Coturnix japonica: one gene and its partner. Each later gene encodes a partner of the first gene's protein in a complex. Links are inferred from orthologs where the notes say so. Each region holds a gene or a part of one and is shown on either strand. Other genes may lie near its edges.

Region 1 (4,171 bases):
ACCAAACACCACAACCACACGCCCAGGCGCAGCGTCACTTCATGCTGTCACCACACATTATTATTTCCTGTTGTCACCAGGCACACCCATGCCATGGGAATTACCCTCCCATGGGGCTAACAGGTCCCAGGAAGGTACCTCGAGGACAGAGGTTTCATAGGGCAGGTATTGGAAGATGGGTGCGTTGTCGTTACGGTCATCCACGATGATGGTCAGGCGGCTGGTGACCTGTGGGGAGAGCTTGGATAAGGGAAAAGGAGCCGGCCAGCACTGCCCCCCTGGGCAAAGCCCCACTGAGCATCACAGTCAGCATTACTGAGACCCTGCGGAGACCCCACTGTGATCCCTGTTCCCACTACTCACTGCTGTATTGATCCCGTCAGACAATATGACAAAGATGTCGAGCTTGGCCTTGGACTGGGGAGGGAAAGTAGAGCTCAGTCAGGGCAGGCAGAGCTCAGCCTCAGTCCGAGGGCTCTGCCATTCATCCCCATGGCCCCATCTCCCAGTCCCTGCTCTCACCTCACGGTCCAGCAGGTTTTTCAGTGTCACCACACCTGTCTGTGCATCAACTTTAAAGTAGAAGGAATCTTCCCCAGTGATGTCGTAGGTGATTGGGTCCCCATCTAAGTCATAGGCTGACAGACTGAAAGCAATCGCGCCTGGGGACAAGGGGAGAAAGGCATCGTCATCCCCAGGCTCTCCCCCCATCCCAGCAGCCCCCCCGCAGCCGCCCCTCACCTATCGGCAGGTCCTCAGGCACGTACACGAGGGTCATGTTGAAGATGGGAGCTGTGTTTCCTGAAGCTGCAGGGAGAACATGAGCTGAGTGCAGGGGATCTCCCCCTCCTCACCCCACAACTCCCACTCCTCACCCTCCCCTGCCCAGCCCACAGTGCCACTTTTGGGGGTCATGGATGCCCCCAGGGAAATGGGATGGAGCTGGAAGCGTCTCTGATGCTTCCCTGCAACCCAGGCCTGCACCAAGCAAAGTCCTCACCTGCTGCCAGGAGGAAGGGGAGCAGCAGCAGCGGGTGCCATGCCATCCTGCCCAAAGCCTGTGGAACACAGAAGAGAAACTGGGGCATGTTCCGAGCCCCCCCACCATGCCCACTGGAAGAGCATGGGATGGGACTGAGCTGCCCAAGGGAACAGGTCCCATCCCATGGGGATACAGTGGGGGGATGGAGCTGGTCTGTAGGTTCTGGTGACCTCAGGAGTATCTGGGGACCCCAAGACCAGCTCCTGAGCACAGCTGAAGGCTGAGTCACTCCAGATCACTCCAAGCCCCACATGGAAGCCCCAGAGAGAGCTGTGACACCCCACAACATCCCCCTCTCTTACATCACCGCCTATGGGCAGCCCCCACAGCTCACCCCCTCCAACAGACATTCCCCCACCCCAAACCCAGACTGCAGTGCCCATGGGGGGTCGTGCTGGGATCCCTTACCTGCAGGCACCTAGCCGGGATGCTGCCGGCAGCTATGCCGTGCTTGCACCCTGGCAGCACTGCAGAACTTTGACTCCTGAAGTAAGCAAGTTCATCAATGATTAACTGCAATTAAGGGGTGAGAAACTGCTTTCTCCATTCTCCTCCCTGCTGCTCATCACCCAGCTCTGGCCCAGCCCAGCAACTGCTCCCCAGCTCCAGCCCCCTGTGCTGGGGACCATCCCCGTGGCTCATCCACCCCAACCCGCACCCTGGGGACTCTGCCTGTAGGGCTGCAGGGGGACCCCAAACCCAGGGCACTGGGGAGGGGCTGAGGAACTGCCTGGCATCCCCTGGGCTGGAGCAGGGAGGTCTCACCAGGACACAGGTGGGCACCGACCCAGTGGAGCTGCCGCTGGGGCCTCGTGCATCCCCCGCTGTGAGGTTCCCTCCCTGGGGGGGCCTAGAGGGCTCAGCTCTGCCTCCCTGACCTACTTCAGCCCTGCTGGGGACAAGGGTGGATTGTGTGGCTCTGCTCATGCAGAAGAAGGCTGGGATGTGAGAGTGGGGGGAGGCACAGACACAGCCTGTACTGGCTCTGCAGGACCTCGGGCCTGGCCCTCTTCCTTCTTATACACTGGGGAGGATCTCAGGGGGCCAGGAGCCCGCACAGCTCTGCACACCCCAGGACACCCAGCCAGGACACCCAGCCTGCTCTAAGGCCCCACTGCACCCCATAAAGGGCCAGGACTGGGGTGAAACTCTTGAGGGCTGGTCCAGGACAGCCCCTACTGCTGAAGGGTCACTGTGCCCTCGTTCCTCGAGTCCCTCAGGCCTGGTGCAAGGCAGCCCACTGCAAACCCTCCTGGACTGTCCCAGGACACCCCCAAACCTTCTAAGGGTTGGCCTGGGATGTCCCCAGCGCCTCCATCCCCATCCCTACCCAGATCCACATCCTATTCCCAGCTCCATCCCTGTCCCCATCCCTGAACCCAGCCCTGTTCCCGTTTCTATCCCTATCCCTTTTCCCATCCCTGTCTCCGTTCCGTTCCCATCTCTGTTCCCATCTCCATCCCTACCCACATTCCCACCCCGCCCTTCCCCCTGTCCCTGTAGTGCGCATCCTCTCGGATCATTACGGCTCTCACCCCGCAGCGCGTTTTAGTTGCGGCTCTTTTAGGCTCATTACGGCGCTGGGGCCGGGTTGGACGCTCCCACCTGGTGGCGGCGCAGGGGGCGGCCGGTTCCATCGGCTCGGGATCGCAGGGGGCGCCGTGAGGCGGGGCCGAGGCCGGAGCGCGAGCGGCACCGGGACGGACACCGAGCCCGGCGGGCCCGGCCGCCGCGCCATGCGAGCGGGCTGAGCCCGGAGCGCGGCCGGGGCACGAACCGAGCGGCCCGAGAGCGGCGGGGGCGGCGCCTCCGGTAGGTTGTGGGGCGCGGTGCCGGGCACCGGAACCGGCGGGGGGGGCGGCGGAGCCGGGGCAGGGCCCAGGCGGTGCGACGGGGGGAGCGGCACCGGGACCGGCACCGGGAGGGCGCTCCGGCGGGGCCCGGTGAGGTGTGAGCGCGGGCCGCACTCGGGGCTGTCGCCGTGTGGGCCGGGCCGGGCTCCGTGCTCGGGGAGCACCGGGCGGCGGGACGTGAGCGGGGACGGAGCGGGGCGGCCATGGCGGCTGTGCCGCGGGGTGGGTGCGCTGTGCTGCGGGTACGGCAGCTCCGTCCCGCAGGGCCCAGCGGTGCGATGCGGGCCGGGCCGTATGGAGGCCGCAGCGGGACGGCACCGAGCGGGGCGACCGCAGCACCGAGCGGCCTCGCTCCCTGTGCCGGCACCCGGAGCCAACGCGGCTCGGCCCGGGGCTGCACGGTGTGCGGTGCGCGGCTCCCGCATCCCGGAGCTGTGCGTGGGCTGGGGCCGGAGCCCCGGCAGCAGCAGCAGGAGGAGGAGGAGGAGGAGCGGCCGTGAGGGATCGGGCTGAGCCTGATGTCAGTGCGCTGCATGGCGGGTAATAATGCACGGTGCAGTGGAAATAATAAGGCCGGCTCAAAATACGGCGAATGCGGAGCGCAGCACCGGGCCTTTGTTGGCACCTTTGGGTGCTGCTTTGAAGGCAGCGGGAGCGGCTCCGTACCAACATTAGGACACGGGGAACCGCGGCCCGGCACGTCCCGGTGCTCGGATAAGGGGCAGCGGGACGTTGTCCTTAACCCCGGTGTGCGGGGTGGCTGCCCGGTGCTGCCCGTCCATCCCCGCTGTGCTCGGCTCGTGGAGCCCGGCACGGCCCGACTGAGGCCCCGCACTGCGATGGGGGTGGGCAGGAAGGGGAGGAAATAAATGGTGAGCGGAGCGCTCGGTACCGCTGCTCCGTTTGTTCCGCTTCTTGCAGGAGCTGAGAGCAGCCGCTGCTTTTTTGTCTGCCCGAGCTGGGCCTCGTCCCACTTGGCCGTGCTGCAGGAGGAGCGGTGCTGCACACAAGGCTGCGTTGCCTTTGGGGTCGGGGCCGTGTTTATGGGGCTCCCGCTGGTTGTCCCCTCGCTGCAGGGAGCAGCACGGCCCCATCTGGCTGCTGGGAGGGATGTTCCCACCGCCCCGACCTGATGTGCTGCACGGCTCCGCTCGGCGAGTGCAGAACAAAGAGCTGAGAGAGGAGACTTTGCAAATCCCCATTGATTTGCACAGTGGAAGCTGCTCGCTGTGTGTTTGTGTCTGCCTGCCTGGGACTGGGGCTCTGCGAGGGGAAT
Region 2 (4,051 bases), on another chromosome or scaffold:
CTGATCACCGCTCACTGCCCGACTTGTCTGTCCCTGGGCAGTTGCCCGTGGAGCAGCAGGGCGTCCTTCACGCTGTGGGGCTGCTGGCACAGCCCTGCCCGCTCCCTGCCCCCCCCAGCTGCCCACTGCCAGGTGGCACCAAGCAGCAGCACGAGGCCGGGGGGCACACAGCACACCCAGCTCTCTGCCTGCACTCCCGGAGCAGGGTTTGGCTGCCCCATGGCCCTCCAGGCAGAGCACTGCCAAGGCCTTTTCTGACTCCTTTGCACGTCAGGGGACACCACAGCGAGTGGCAGTGAAGGGTCTTGTTGTGCCCGCACAGTGATGGCTGGGAGCAGCAGAGGGTAAATGCAAAGCGCAGTCGCAGCTTTGACTCCAGTGCTGCTGGGTTGGGCTCGGTCAGATCCCGGTTTTAGTCAGCTCTGTTGTTTCTACGTAAGGTTCTTTTGCTCGTGGGGTCTGGAAAGCAGAAGTTCATTGGGAAATTGGAAAACAAAAGGAACAAAATAAAAACCAGATTATTTTCAACGACTGCGGCCCTGGTGCAGCACAGACCGGCCGAGCGCAGCTGCTGCTGCCCGGGGGGACGAACGATGGAGACAAAGGGCTCGTGCTGCCCCACCGCCCCTGGGGCTGCGTGAGCTGCGGGGCCGGGCGGGGAGGGAGCTGGTCCGCGCCGCATCTGTCGGGAAACTGCCTTTACTTCAAGGAAAGGATGAATTCATTACACAAAAAGAAAAGACCTCAGAGGAACCCCTACAGTTCTGTGACTCCGTGAAAGCAGGGGCGGCCAGCAGAGCAGACCGAGCAGCTCCCACAGCTCAGCCCCCCCCGCAGAACACGCACCGAGCAGCAGCGGGACGGAGCACCGGGATGAGCGGAACCGGAGCCGCCCCGCGCCGGGGGAGCAGGAGCACGAGGGGGAACGCGAGCGGCACCGCGGGGCTTTGTGCCCCCTGCGGGGCTTTGTGCCCCCTGCGGATCCTCTGAGCGCGTGCGGACGTTTCAGTTGTTCTCGTGGCAGGGGGGAATGTTGAACTCACCCCTGGAGGTGGCTGTAATTCGTTCCCTGGGCGGTCATTCCCCCCCGGGCGCCCTATGGACTCTCAGTTCCTCCTTCATCACACGCGTGTTTTGCTTTTTCCCTGGGGGCGCAACCACGGCAATAGAGTCCAAAGGCCCCTTTTATTGTGCAGCCGCGCCTGAGCCGTACAGCGGAGCTGCGGCAATCCCAGCTGGGTGTGAGGTTTTCAGACCTATTTCTAGGCAAGGAGAACTAAATGCATCCAAGCAGTTGATCCGACGTTTCCCCCCCAATCTCCCTTAAGCCATTTAGATCAAAAATACAAACCCGGGGACAACATAACCTTCATGTCACCCCAGCACAAACATTTTCTTCACTGTTTCCCTCCTCCTAAACCTTGCGAGAGAATCACGGCATAAAACATCGGCTCTGGAGGGAGCACTACAGAAATGGGGACACGGGCCCATTCGGTGGCGCTTCAGGGTGGTTCCCTCCCACGGTAACCGAAGGATTCGCCTCAGGAAGCAGGGGCTGCTCGGCCGTTTGCAGAGCTCAGCGCCCCGCGGAGCTCACAGAGCGCCCACGAGTGCGGCCGCAGCTCCAGCGGCTCCCGGGGCGTCACTGCGGCGGCGGAGATGAGAAATGAGCGTTACCAGGAGCCGGAGCCGCAGCCCCCGAGGGATGGAGGCTGCTCCACTCACCCCCTGCGGCATATGATCTCCAGGGCCTCCAGGCGCCCGTGGTACGCGGCCAGCAGAGTGGGCGTCATCCCGTCCTCGTCCGGCGAGTTCAGGTCCTTCTTGGTGGCTTCTTTCAGCAGGTCCAGGTAGCCATCCGCCGCTGCCCGGTGGTACCTGCTCGACATCTTCGGCTGTCGGCACTGCCCGCCCACGGCCGGAGCTGCGGCATCGCCCCGGGGAGGGCGGCCCAGGGGAGCGAAGTCCTTCCCGGCGCTCGGCGGGCGGTGCTCGTGCCTTCCTGCTGCCCGTCCCGAGCGGCGGCCGCGCCTCTGCCCGCGGAGCTGCTGCTTCCCGGCGCGGTGCGATGCAGAAACGCGGCGGGTCCTTCGTCCTTTTGGTGGCCGATCTGCGGCACAGACGGAGCAACGCGGCCGGTTTCCTCCAGCGCTGAGCGCTCTGATGGTGCCGCGTGGGACGGGCTGCCCGGCCGTGTCCAAACAGGCGCAGTTCCCCGTTTAGACGCTGTTCCCACGGATGGCAGCGGGACGGTGGGTCACCCCTGTGAGGGAAAACTTGTGGAACCGGAGCACAGCGCTGGGTGCTTGGAAAAACTTCTCCAAAAGAGCTGTGATGCATTGGAACGGCCTGACGGGGGGGAGTCACCATCCCTGGGGGGATCCAGGATCCACAGAGATGATGCAGCGCTGGGGGATGTGGGCAGTATTTGTGGTAAGGGGATAACGGATCTGGATGGCCCTGCAGGCCATGGAGATGATCAGAGGATGGAGCAGCCCCACTATGAGAATGGGCTGAGAGCTGGGCTGTGCAGCCTGGAGAACAGAAGGCTCTGAGGGAACCTTACAGCCCTGCCAGGACCTGAAGGGCCTACAGGAAAACTGGGGAGAGACTTTATAAGGGCAGGTAGTGAGAAGACAAGGGGAAATGGCTTTAAACTGTTAGATGGCAGTTTAGACTAAACATTGGGGAGGAATTCTTTACTGAGTGTGGTGACACTGGAGCAGGTTGTTGTGAGGCTGTGGATGCTCCTCCCCAGCAACACTCAGTCCAGGCTGGATGGGGCTGTGAGCAACTGGGCTGTGGGAGGGGTCCCTGCCCATAGCAGGGGTTGGAATGGTCTGAAAGGTCCCTTCCAGCCCAAACCATTCTGTGATTCTATGATTCTGCCATTCCCAAATCTGTTTTCTTATGTTCAGAAGTTTTACTGAAGAAACGCACTCAGCAGGTCGGCAGCTGAGAAGGAATCTGGGAATGCTGGGAGCCAACACGAGCTCACACGGTGCCATGGGCTCCCTGCTCTCCTGGGCGCACTCACAGCTGCTGCCACCTCGGTGTGATGCTCTGCTGGGCTGCGTCCTGTGCTGCCCCATCCCGGGATCACACCGACCCGCAGTGGGACGCTGGGCCGCCCCTGTGCGTCCCCACACATCCCGACTGCAGCCCCCGGCACCAGGTGGGCACAGCAGCCGCCTCCGGGGCTTCTCCTGGGAATGGCCCCTGCTGCAGGAGCAGCTCGTTCCCACACCTTCATGAACACCCCGTTAATTAGTTCAACGCACAAAGTGTTGATCTCAGTGATGGTTCTCCTCCAACATCTCAAAAGGTTTCCTTCAGAAGGAAGCTTTCATACGGTGCTAAGTGGGATGCTGTTGTTCCAGGTTTTAATTGGGGGCAAAGCAAAACCCCCTTCAGCTGGAGAGCAGCTCTGGGACCTCGCTCGCTTTTTCATCCTGAATGTCCCCAAATGGGCATCACAAAAACAAAGAAGAAAGGAGGAAAGACCAAACAAAATCTCCATCTATTCCCAAACTCCTCTTTGTTAATTCCTGTTCCTTCTGAAAACCTCGACTTAAAATGTGATACAAGATTCACATGATTCAGCAGCAAGTGACGTTTCCTGGCCTGGATGCAGAGGTTTCTTTTGAGAGCGATGCTCAAAGCCCTGAGCAGTTCAAATGAACCTTTTTACTGGGGTCTGAAAAGGACTGAGAACCGTTCAATGCAATGGCGATGTGCTACCAGGCTGAGGAGAAATGCTGCACTAACGGTGTGTGCTGCTGTGAGCTGGGGCTGACGGAGCCAGCAGCTCTCATTCTGTCTTTGGATGTTGCTGTCTCTGGTTATCACTGTTTCCTCCAGGACAATCCCAATGGTGGCACCACCAGTCACACATCAGCCGCAGCAGCGCGTTGGTGGCTCAGGCAGCTCAGGGCCCCACCTGCCTCCTCACCCTGCAGAGAAGCTGCCGTGTCTGCCCTGCACGATGGATCTCCAGGCCAACATCTGCTCACTGCAAACTGCAGAGCAACAAACGTGAGGGTAGAGGTGT

The links. Proteins that work in one complex are often made in the same cells at the same time.
Region 2: CDHR2 (region 1) and ANKS4B share a complex: the UniProt entries of both Homo sapiens proteins name them as parts of the IMAC/intermicrovillar adhesion complex. The link is inferred for Coturnix japonica from reciprocal best matches to the Homo sapiens genes CDHR2 and ANKS4B.

Annotation. Positions count from the first base shown.
Region 1 is NC_029528.1:12,170,790-12,174,960, forward strand, and holds the start of CDHR2 (cadherin-related family member 2), read right to left. Parts: upstream 2,804-4,171; 5' UTR 2,781-2,803; coding exon 2,578-2,780; intron 1,985-2,577; exon of another isoform or gene 1,970-1,984; coding exon of another isoform or gene 1,808-1,969; intron 1,527-1,807; coding exon 1,451-1,526; intron 1,059-1,450; coding exon 1,001-1,058; intron 808-1,000; coding exon 742-807; intron 663-741; coding exon 523-662; intron 418-522; coding exon 364-417; intron 229-363; coding exon 139-228; intron 1-138. UniProt on the Homo sapiens protein: Intermicrovillar adhesion molecule that forms, via its extracellular domain, calcium-dependent heterophilic complexes with CDHR5 on adjacent microvilli. Thereby, controls the packing of microvilli at the apical membrane of epithelial cells.
Region 2 is NC_029529.1:12,774,110-12,778,160, reverse strand, and holds the start of ANKS4B (ankyrin repeat and SAM domain-containing protein 4B), read right to left. Parts: upstream 2,805-4,051; 5' UTR 1,890-2,804; coding exon 1,726-1,889; intron 1,686-1,725; exon of another isoform or gene 1,082-1,685; coding exon of another isoform or gene 1,044-1,081; intron 1-1,043. UniProt on the Homo sapiens protein: As part of the intermicrovillar adhesion complex/IMAC plays a role in epithelial brush border differentiation, controlling microvilli organization and length. Plays a role in assembly of the complex.